2 linked regions of the Neurospora crassa OR74A genome follow. The protein of the gene in region 1 purifies or fractionates together with the protein of each later gene. This does not show direct contact. Links are inferred from orthologs where the notes say so. Each region holds a gene or a part of one and is shown in the gene's direction. Other genes may lie near its edges. The genes, in order: ckb-2 and crf6-1.

What was found.
Region 2: the proteins of ckb-2 (region 1) and crf6-1 purify together in Saccharomyces cerevisiae (affinity purification with mass spectrometry; 5 studies listed by BioGRID). This does not show direct contact. The link is inferred for Neurospora crassa OR74A from reciprocal best matches to the Saccharomyces cerevisiae genes CKB2 and CHD1.

What each region holds. Positions count from the first base shown.
Region 1 is NC_026501.1:3,448,550-3,452,702, forward strand, and holds ckb-2 (casein kinase II subunit beta-2), read left to right. Parts: upstream 1-1,390; 5' UTR 1,391-1,764; coding exon 1,765-1,821; intron 1,822-1,904; coding exon 1,905-2,150; intron 2,151-2,232; coding exon 2,233-2,787; 3' UTR 2,788-3,528; downstream 3,529-4,153. Other genes in the region: NCU11228 (DUF1339 domain-containing protein), read left to right, coding at 1-713; NCU02755 (PAP2 domain-containing protein), read right to left, coding at 3,859-4,153. UniProt on the Saccharomyces cerevisiae protein: Regulatory subunit of casein kinase II/CK2.
Region 2 is NC_026501.1:4,381,284-4,385,655, reverse strand, and holds the start of crf6-1 (chromodomain helicase, variant), read left to right. Parts: upstream 1-1,516; 5' UTR 1,517-1,684; intron 1,685-1,814; exon of another isoform or gene 1,815-2,137; 5' UTR 2,138-2,165; coding exon 2,166-2,579; intron 2,580-2,633; coding exon 2,634-2,663; intron 2,664-2,718; coding exon 2,719-2,815; intron 2,816-2,879; coding exon 2,880-4,372. UniProt on the Saccharomyces cerevisiae protein: ATP-dependent chromatin-remodeling factor which functions as substrate recognition component of the transcription regulatory histone acetylation (HAT) complexes SAGA and SLIK. It recognizes H3K4me.

The sequences.
Region 1 (4,153 bases):
CGATTGAGGCGTTGCGGTTAGCTCAGCAATATGAGCACCTTGAGTACTTTGCGCATGGACTGGAAATACTTCTGCACCATGTCCTGGACGAAGAGGTGGATGCCCATCCTCCGCCTGCTCCAGAACATGCCATCCTCCCACGCGTGCTGTCACTTCTCTCATCGTTCAAGCAGTACTTGGACATTGTGGTGCAGTGTACCCGCAAGACGGAAGTGCGTTCCTGGCGTACTCTGTTCGCCTATCTCCCTCCACCTCAGGAGCTGTTTGAGGAGAGCTTGCAGCGTGGGAGCCTCAAGACTGCTGGCGGCTACTTACTCATCCTCCATACCTTTGACGAACTCGCAACAGCAAGCGAGCAGAGTGTGCGTCTCTTAAGCAGAGCAATGCGCGAGGGCGACTGGGAGCTATGCAAAGAGCTGGCGCGGTTTTTAGCAGCGCTCGATGAAACGGGGGACACGCTGCGTGAAGCAATGGAGCTGGCCAAGATGCGAGTGAAGCAGGAAAGTGAGCTGGAGGATGGCCATGGCAGCGTAGGCAGCGGGCTGGGCACAATGCTTGGAGTTCCTCAGGGTGGTGGTGCTAACGGTGCTTCCAGCACTACCAGCTCATTGATTTCCAATACCAAGGGGATCATAGGTAGTGACTGGGATGCTGACAGGCGCACAATCAGCGACGCCGGCAGCGTTGTCAGTGCTAATCGGTACGAAGGTTAATGAAGTGGATGGAAATTGGAAAGCGGATAGTTGGTTGTAGGATTGTTGGATATCCATAGCCGTGGCGCTCACGATCCTACCAGAACGTCACTTTATGATGAAGCGGGGGTCTTGAGCTCTAGACACATGCTGTAGGGCAACACAGATGTTATAGAAGCCGGGATGTTTCAAGATAATCTAGAACAGCTATAATCACAGGCGACTGGCGTTCTTATCCCCCATTTTTATTTATTTATATATATTTTTTTTGGGTTTTCCGTCTCCAACAATATACCTGCTCAAAAATAAGGCACAAACTGTAGCACTGAACGTCATGACGCCCAATAGAATACCTACCTTAATGACAGAGTACATGCTTCCATCCCCAGTACCTGTGAACGTACAATTAAAGTCATACGCTGGGCCGTTGGGCTGACTGAAGGCCGACGAAAGGTACCCGCCCGCTACCTACCTACCTACCTAGGTAGGTACTTAGGTAGTCAGATGGTCGATTTTGCAGACCTGATAACCTACCTCTGTGTAGTGCCCTGGGTAGGTCGGGACTGCTGATAAACAGACTGCGATGAGCCAGGGGCGGGGGGGCACTGCAACCTGCCCTGCGGGGACCACTGCAACGGCGATGAACCCCCCACCAAAAAAAAAAGTCCCTTGTCATGGACTGTCAGCCTGTTTGGCTCCCGGTCTAGAGTCCAGACCCCCTCGCCTGCCCTGCCGTTGCCCTGCACCAGGGACGGCTTTGAACCCTCTTCCACCTGAACTCCCATCAAACCGTCGCAAAAAAGCATCACAATCCTCTCCAACGTCTTGTCGTCATTGTGCCTTGTGCCAGCTCAATCTCATCCGACTCGGACCTCCCACTCCCCATCTACGGCCCGGCGCGCATTAGTTCGGCCCAACAAAAGGTTCAAACGCCGTACTTGACCCCGGCACCCGGGATTTTGGCCTCGTTGATGCGAAGCGCCAGCCGACGGTCGTTCGCGCCCACTTTCCTCCCACCACCACCTTCCTCCCTTCCTTTTATGCGCCGAGTATAGACGTGGTGTCGCCGGCCATGGATGACTTTGTGAGCGAGTCTGAGAGCGACTATGCCAGCTATTGGCGCGACTGGGTATGCTTCTCTTGCAATTGTTGTTATTGTTTACTACAGTAAAGGTTCCCCAATCATGCTGACATTTGCGCGTCCGCCTGCAGTTTATTTCCTCGCGAGGCAATGAGTACTTTTGCGAAATTGACGAGGACTACATCACTGATAGGTTCAATCTAACTGGTCTCAACACTGAGGTCCAGTACTACCAATATGCTCTCGATCTCATCACCGATGTCTTCGACCTCGACTGCGATGACGACATGCGGGAAACAATAGAGAAGTCTGCTAGGCACCTGTACGGTCTTGTCCATGCTCGATACATTGTCACAACGCGGGGTCTTCAAAAAATGGTCAGTAATCAACTCTCAGCATTCCATCTTCATCCAGCGTCTCCTCGTCTTCATCCGTGACTAACGCACTTCCCACCAACAGTTCGAAAAGTACAAAAAAGCCGACTTTGGCAAGTGCCCGCGCGTCATGTGTTCCTCGCACCCTCTGCTGCCCATGGGTCTCTCGGACGTGCCCAACTCCAAGCCGGTGAAGCTGTACTGCGCGCGTTGCGAGGATATTTACAACCCCAAGTCGTCGCGCCACGCCGCCATTGACGGCGCCTACTTCGGCACCTCGTTCCACAACATCTTCTTTCAGGTATACCCGACCCTGGTGCCCGCCAAGAGCGTCGAGCGCTACATTCCGCGCTGCTACGGCTTCAAGGTGCACGCCGCTGCCGCTCTGGTGCGCTGGCAGAACAGCCAGCGGGACGAGATGCGTAGGCGGCTGAGGAAGCTCGAGGTCGAGAGCGGGTTCAAGGACGCCGAGGACGAGGCTGAGCTTGACGATGATGACGAGGAGGAGGAGGAGGAAGAGGAGGAAGAGGAGGAGCTGGCTGCTATGGATGAGGCTGAAGGTGCCCAACAGCAACATGCGGCGGCGGCGGCAGGTACAGCAACGGGAGGCGTTGCTGCCGGCGGTGAAGGCGTTCATTAGAAAGGGCCTGCTGCTACTGGTGGAGAAGCGGATGAAGAGTATTGGAATTCAGAAGCCACGATTGGAGCCGCCGACGAAGCTGACGATGAAGCTGAGCTACCAAACGAGCCAAACGAGCCGAACCATTGGTTGACACCTCTCATGTCTGCTGCTGCAAGGCTGCGACGGAGTCTCAGGCTAGGGGAGGACTATGAAGAGCAGGCTGAAGTGGAGTTCGATGAGTGGATGGAACAGGCGAGGTACGGGATCTTTTGACTTTTGAGGTGGTGGAATGCATATACCATACAGTATCGAGTAACAAAGTATGAGTACAGGTGCCTCTCTTCTCTTTGTTTTTTTGTTTCTATTCCCGCACCCCATAAGCCTCTACACAGCGGACGTCGGGATCGATGCGAATAAGGGAGAGAGAGCCATTGATAGAGTGTTTATGTTCTTTGGTCTAGCTATACGTCTTTTCGGTTCTTACCAGACGATTTCTTCTCACCTTGCCGGCTTTGCTTCTCTTCGTCTGTGCTGAACTGCACCCTTCTCTGTTTCAAGCCTCCTAAAAACCAATCGTCAAATCGACGGGAAGTTGAACTTAACGCTTGAAAGGCAGTCTCTTGGAGCGTGAAAATTCAAAACGACCAGACCATATATCCAAGCGTCTACTGAGGAAAGATTCACAAGCGGTGTCATGCGGCAACACGAACCTTTCAAATACATGAACTGTTACCACAGCATAAACACGTTGATTAATGCCGAAGACCAGTGTGCTCAAACTTCCCTTGAAGAGTTACCAGGTAGATATGTGTACATATGGATAGGTTCCTCATTTCCCTATCTCAAAACGCCTCCTGAACATAAGAGAGACTGTACCAAAACCCATGTTGGTGACATAAAACCATTTGTTGTTCCTCATATTTCCTCGTTTAGAGAAATAATCGCTTTTGTCATCAAGCCCACCCATCCGGGCCAAGTCCCTACTTCCGGAAAATGCACCTTGACTCTTCTGATCCGACAATGCGTCGAAATTTGCCTTTCATATCTGATCGTCATTTACCCGTCTCTGTAAGCTGTGTCAACCTGTTCTCATTGATCAACGTCAAGCGACGGTGGTTTCCTCCCCGTGATGATCCCACCGGGCTGGTCCGGTCCCACATTGCTTTCCAAACCGGTGCCATTGGCCCGTACCACGGGGTGCCCATAGCTGCTGCCGTGATCTAAAGAATCCGGACTCAGCGCCTCCTCCTCGTCTCCCGCGCGATAATACTCGCCGACGTTGTGATCAGTTGAGTAGCTGTAACTGCCGACACCTGCCCAGAACGCCTTGTCGCGACTGCGCGGACCCCAAGCCCACCCAGCACCTTGCGAAATGGGCAGATGG
Region 2 (4,372 bases), about 930 kb from region 1:
GAGGCGCAGGGTTACTGACATCAAACCGGACTTCCGAACAGAGCTCTGGCTGCCTGTCGACATATGTTTCCTGCGCCCCGGCCGGGCAGTGACTCACAACCAATCTACTCTGATAGCAGTCTATTCCACATGTTGTCGAGGCAGAAATGACATCGGCATCAAGACGTTGAAGATAGTTGCCGACAGAGGTCAATGTTGGCAGTCAAGGAAGGCTGGTGGCCCCAGCAGCACGGGATCGTGTGGATCCATCGTCCTGGACGGATCTGCTCCAGCTGCGCCAGGGAAGCGGTGCCTCTACCATACCCACTTGGACATACTCATAATCTGAAGGGAGTTTAGGACTGGTATTTCTTTGGTCGGATAGGCATGAGACGAGGATAAAATCTTTGATTAGGTATATCTGTTTCTCTTTGACACTTTTGGAGGCTCTCGGATTACGTTTGTGGAATGGGTTAAATAGAGGTGGCCCCGCACAATCACCTACAAGATGTTGTCGTCCTGACTGCCTGCCTGGGTTTGCCTGCGTCGGCTCGCAGTAGGTTCTCTTCGAGCCGGAGCTCCAGTGGCGGGAAATCATCCAAATCACCTTGGTGCCGGTGCTCGCGGTGTACCAAGTTGAAGTGAAGCACCAGGAGAGACCAGTGCATGGCTGGCACCTGCACCGGAGCTGACAAAGAAAACCCCTTCGACGCCAGCATGCCTACCTAGAAAAACCGGGCGACGTCCACGTACCGGGAGTATTCTCAGCTTGTCGTCCATCTTCCATCTTTCCCACCTTGTTGATTCCCAAGTCGCACCGGTACACAGTCGATGTGCCATCAACCGACAACAACACTTCTCTGAATCATTTGTTGTTATATCAACCACATTCCATCCTTGAACTTCTTCCAGTGTTGTATAACCTGATAGCTGAGCGGTCATAACCATACATACCTCCAAGCAATTGAATCGGGAATCGCCCGCTCTCGCCTGCCTCACACCGCCCACGCCGTCTGGAAGGGTACGATCGGAGTGGGCAACCAACGAGCTGGCAAGCTCCAGCAATGATATCCGACCAGGCTCGAGCCGCGTTGGGTTTGTGTCCTGTTATTCGTTCTTTCCAAACCCAAACTTACAAGAAACATTGATCTTACAGATCTTCGTCACACAACTGAAATTCGTGCGTTGTGAGCAAAACGGGCAAGGATCGTGACAGCGCCCATCGGACTGGATTAGGCAAGTGTGCTTCCTCCTGGCGCTACCATCCAGTGAAAGAGAACATCATTGAAGTGGTCAGATCACAAGACACGCGTTACATTTCGGTTTCGGTAATTACGGAGCTGGAACCTTTATGTGGCGGTCCCACACTTGAGTTCGGAGGTTGCTTCCAACGAAACTGACCAATCAGAAAGTGGGACTGAGCAAGCATTGAGTTGAGGGCAAGCGGGCCTCGTCTGAAGCACAAGCCAGGCAGTGGCCCACTGGTGTTGCTGGTTCTGGTTCACCATTTTCATGGATTCTTCTCCTCCGTCCATCACTGCGATTTTCCGCTACACCATCACCACTGCCAGCCCCCTCCCAGGGTCTCCGGCCTTGACCATTTCCCCCACCACCACTCCTCCCACGGCACCGCGATTGTGAATCTCGGGCTTGAAGATTCACTCTGCAGTCTGCTGCCTGGAGGCTCTTAATTCTTCCATGACTTGTGAGTCCAGCCACTGCCGCCCACTGCCCACTGCCCACTGCCCACTGCGTGCCCTGCCCTGCGTATTCGCCTTGCATTTTCCCCATCATTTCGCCCATCGAAGCGGGCCTCGTCGCCCTTGATATCCATCGTCTACCAGCTTGTAGAGGTCGCCAGACCGTCGATTCTTGATGAATATCGCCTCTACAGCTGCCCTAGACCATGGCCTGCTCTCCCGTGCCCTCAGGGCGCCCACACGCGACTGCAATCGCCGTCGCCGTCCGCCTCATCATCCACAGCCTTGCCTCCATCACTTACACGCGAGCCAATGCGACAATCATCATTGAGGGTCGTCCGCTACCCCGATACCGGATTTCTCTGATGATTCCGGGTCGCAAGAGTGGCCTCTTTCCATCGCCCCAAGTAGTGATTCGTAAATGACGCGTACCGCTGGCTGACATCGTCGTCTTACAGCAGGCAGCCTCCGCGTCTAAGTCTCAAAATGTCGACATCTCCCGAATCCGGTCCGGTGTTCGGGCATGTGTCACCGCCGGCGGATGACAGCCACTTCAACTTTACCAACGATACCGAAAGCACGAGCGACCTTTCAGACGTTAATGCCGCCGAGGCCGACCCAAATGACGACGCCGACGCCCAGTCGTATCAGCCTGCCGACGAGGCTGTCTCGCCGATACAAAAACCCGAGTTGACGTTCGAGGAAGCGTCCGATTCAGCAAGTGATAACGACGCGTCAGATGACGGAGACTTTGACGCCCCCGATAGCCCCAGGTCTGCTCAGAGCAACGAAGTCGTGTCTGCCTCGTCGTCCCGTACCGTCGTGAAGCGCAAAGTCGCCCACGCGACCGAGGATGATTACATCAGAGAGAATCCTGCCCTGTATGGGTTGAGGAGGAGTGTACGAATATCCCGCATTCTTGTTGTGTTATACCATGCTAACGACCTACAACAGTCACGCCCTACACAACGCCGTGCGCAGATCGTAAGTGGATCAAGATGAGCTCTCGTCGTTACGCCTCTCCTAACTGAGTAAACAGATCGACTCAGATGAAGAAGATGAACCATCCGAATCGGATGCCACACCGGTGTCTAGAAAGCCTGCGAAGAGACGTCGGGTTGAACGCTCGTTGCCTGGTAAGTTTTCATCCGTCATACTCCTCGGCATTTTGTTTCACTGCTGACTTGTCGTGATTTCCAGCTTCCAAGCGTGGCACTCCTGCTCGCCAACCCTCAATCGATGATTCCGACTCGGACACATATGGAGGCGCCAAAGCCCGCAGCTTCCAAAGAAAGGTCCGCAGGCAACAAGAACAGGACCCTGCCTTGGCTTTTAGCGAAAAGAGATGGTCTAGCCGTCGGGCCGCCCAGGTCTCAGCCGGTGCCTACCAAGAAAGTGACGCCGAAGAAGATGAAGAGGACGACTCCGAGCTTACCCCCAACTACTGGTCTGCCAATGTCGAGGATAACTCGCCATACATCGAGAAAATCCTCGGTCATCGTCCTAAGGAGGGTGTCGAGGTCACGGTGGATTCTACGCGACACGACTTTGAATACTTCATCAAGTGGCAGGGACAATCATATCCCCACAACACCTGGGAAACTACGGAAACTGTCGCAGGCTTCCGAGGCTTTCGCCGCCTCGAAAACTATTACAAGAAGGTTGTTGAGTACGAACTGGAGATGCAATTCGGTGGCGACGATATCAGTCCGGAGCAGAAAGAGCAGTGGTACCTGGATAGAGAACGTGAGCAAGAGGCCCTCGAAGACTACACAAAGGTCGAGCGCGTTGTGGCTGTCAGAGACGGTGATGAGGGCACCGAGTATTACATCAAGTGGAAGGGCCTGCAATACGACGAGTGCACCTGGGAAGCCGAGTCTCTCGTGGCCGAACTTGCTCAGGACAAGATTAACCAGTTCCTCGACCGATGCAACCGGTCATGGCAGTCTGACCGCAAGCAAACTAACCCCGATACCCGGTCGAGGATGACCAAACTGGAGAAGCAGCCTGACTATATCAAGGGCGGCGAGCTTCGCGAGTTCCAAATGAAAGGCCTTAACTTCCTTGCTCTCAACTGGGTAAGGGGCAACAACGTCATCTTAGCCGATGAAATGGGTCTGGGAAAGACTGTCCAAAGCGTCTCGTTCCTCAGCTGGTTACGGAATGAACGCGGCCAGGAAGGACCGTTCCTTGTCGTCGCTCCTCTTAGCGTCATCCCCGCTTGGTGCGATACATTTAATCATTGGGCTCCGGATCTCAATTACGTCGTTTACCTGGGCCCGGAGGCAGCTCGGTCCAACATTCGAGATTACGAACTTTTTGTGGATGGTAACCCAAAGAAGACCAAGTTCAATGTCTTAGTCACTTCCTATGACTACATCTTGGCCGATGCGGATCATCTCAAGAACATCAAATGGCAAGTTCTCGCTGTTGACGAGGCCCACCGTCTCAAGAACCGAGAGTCACAGCTCTACATCAAGCTCAACAACTTCGGCGTTCCTTGCAAGGTCCTCATTACCGGCACACCCATTCAGAACAATCTGGCCGAACTCTCAGCCCTCCTCGACTTCCTTAACCCCGGAAAGGTCGTCATTGATGAGGAGCTTGAAGCGTTGTCTACCGCAGATAACAAAGGTCCCACTGATGAAGAACAGGATGAGGCTAGGCGTATCAGGACCCAAGAGAAGCTCCGC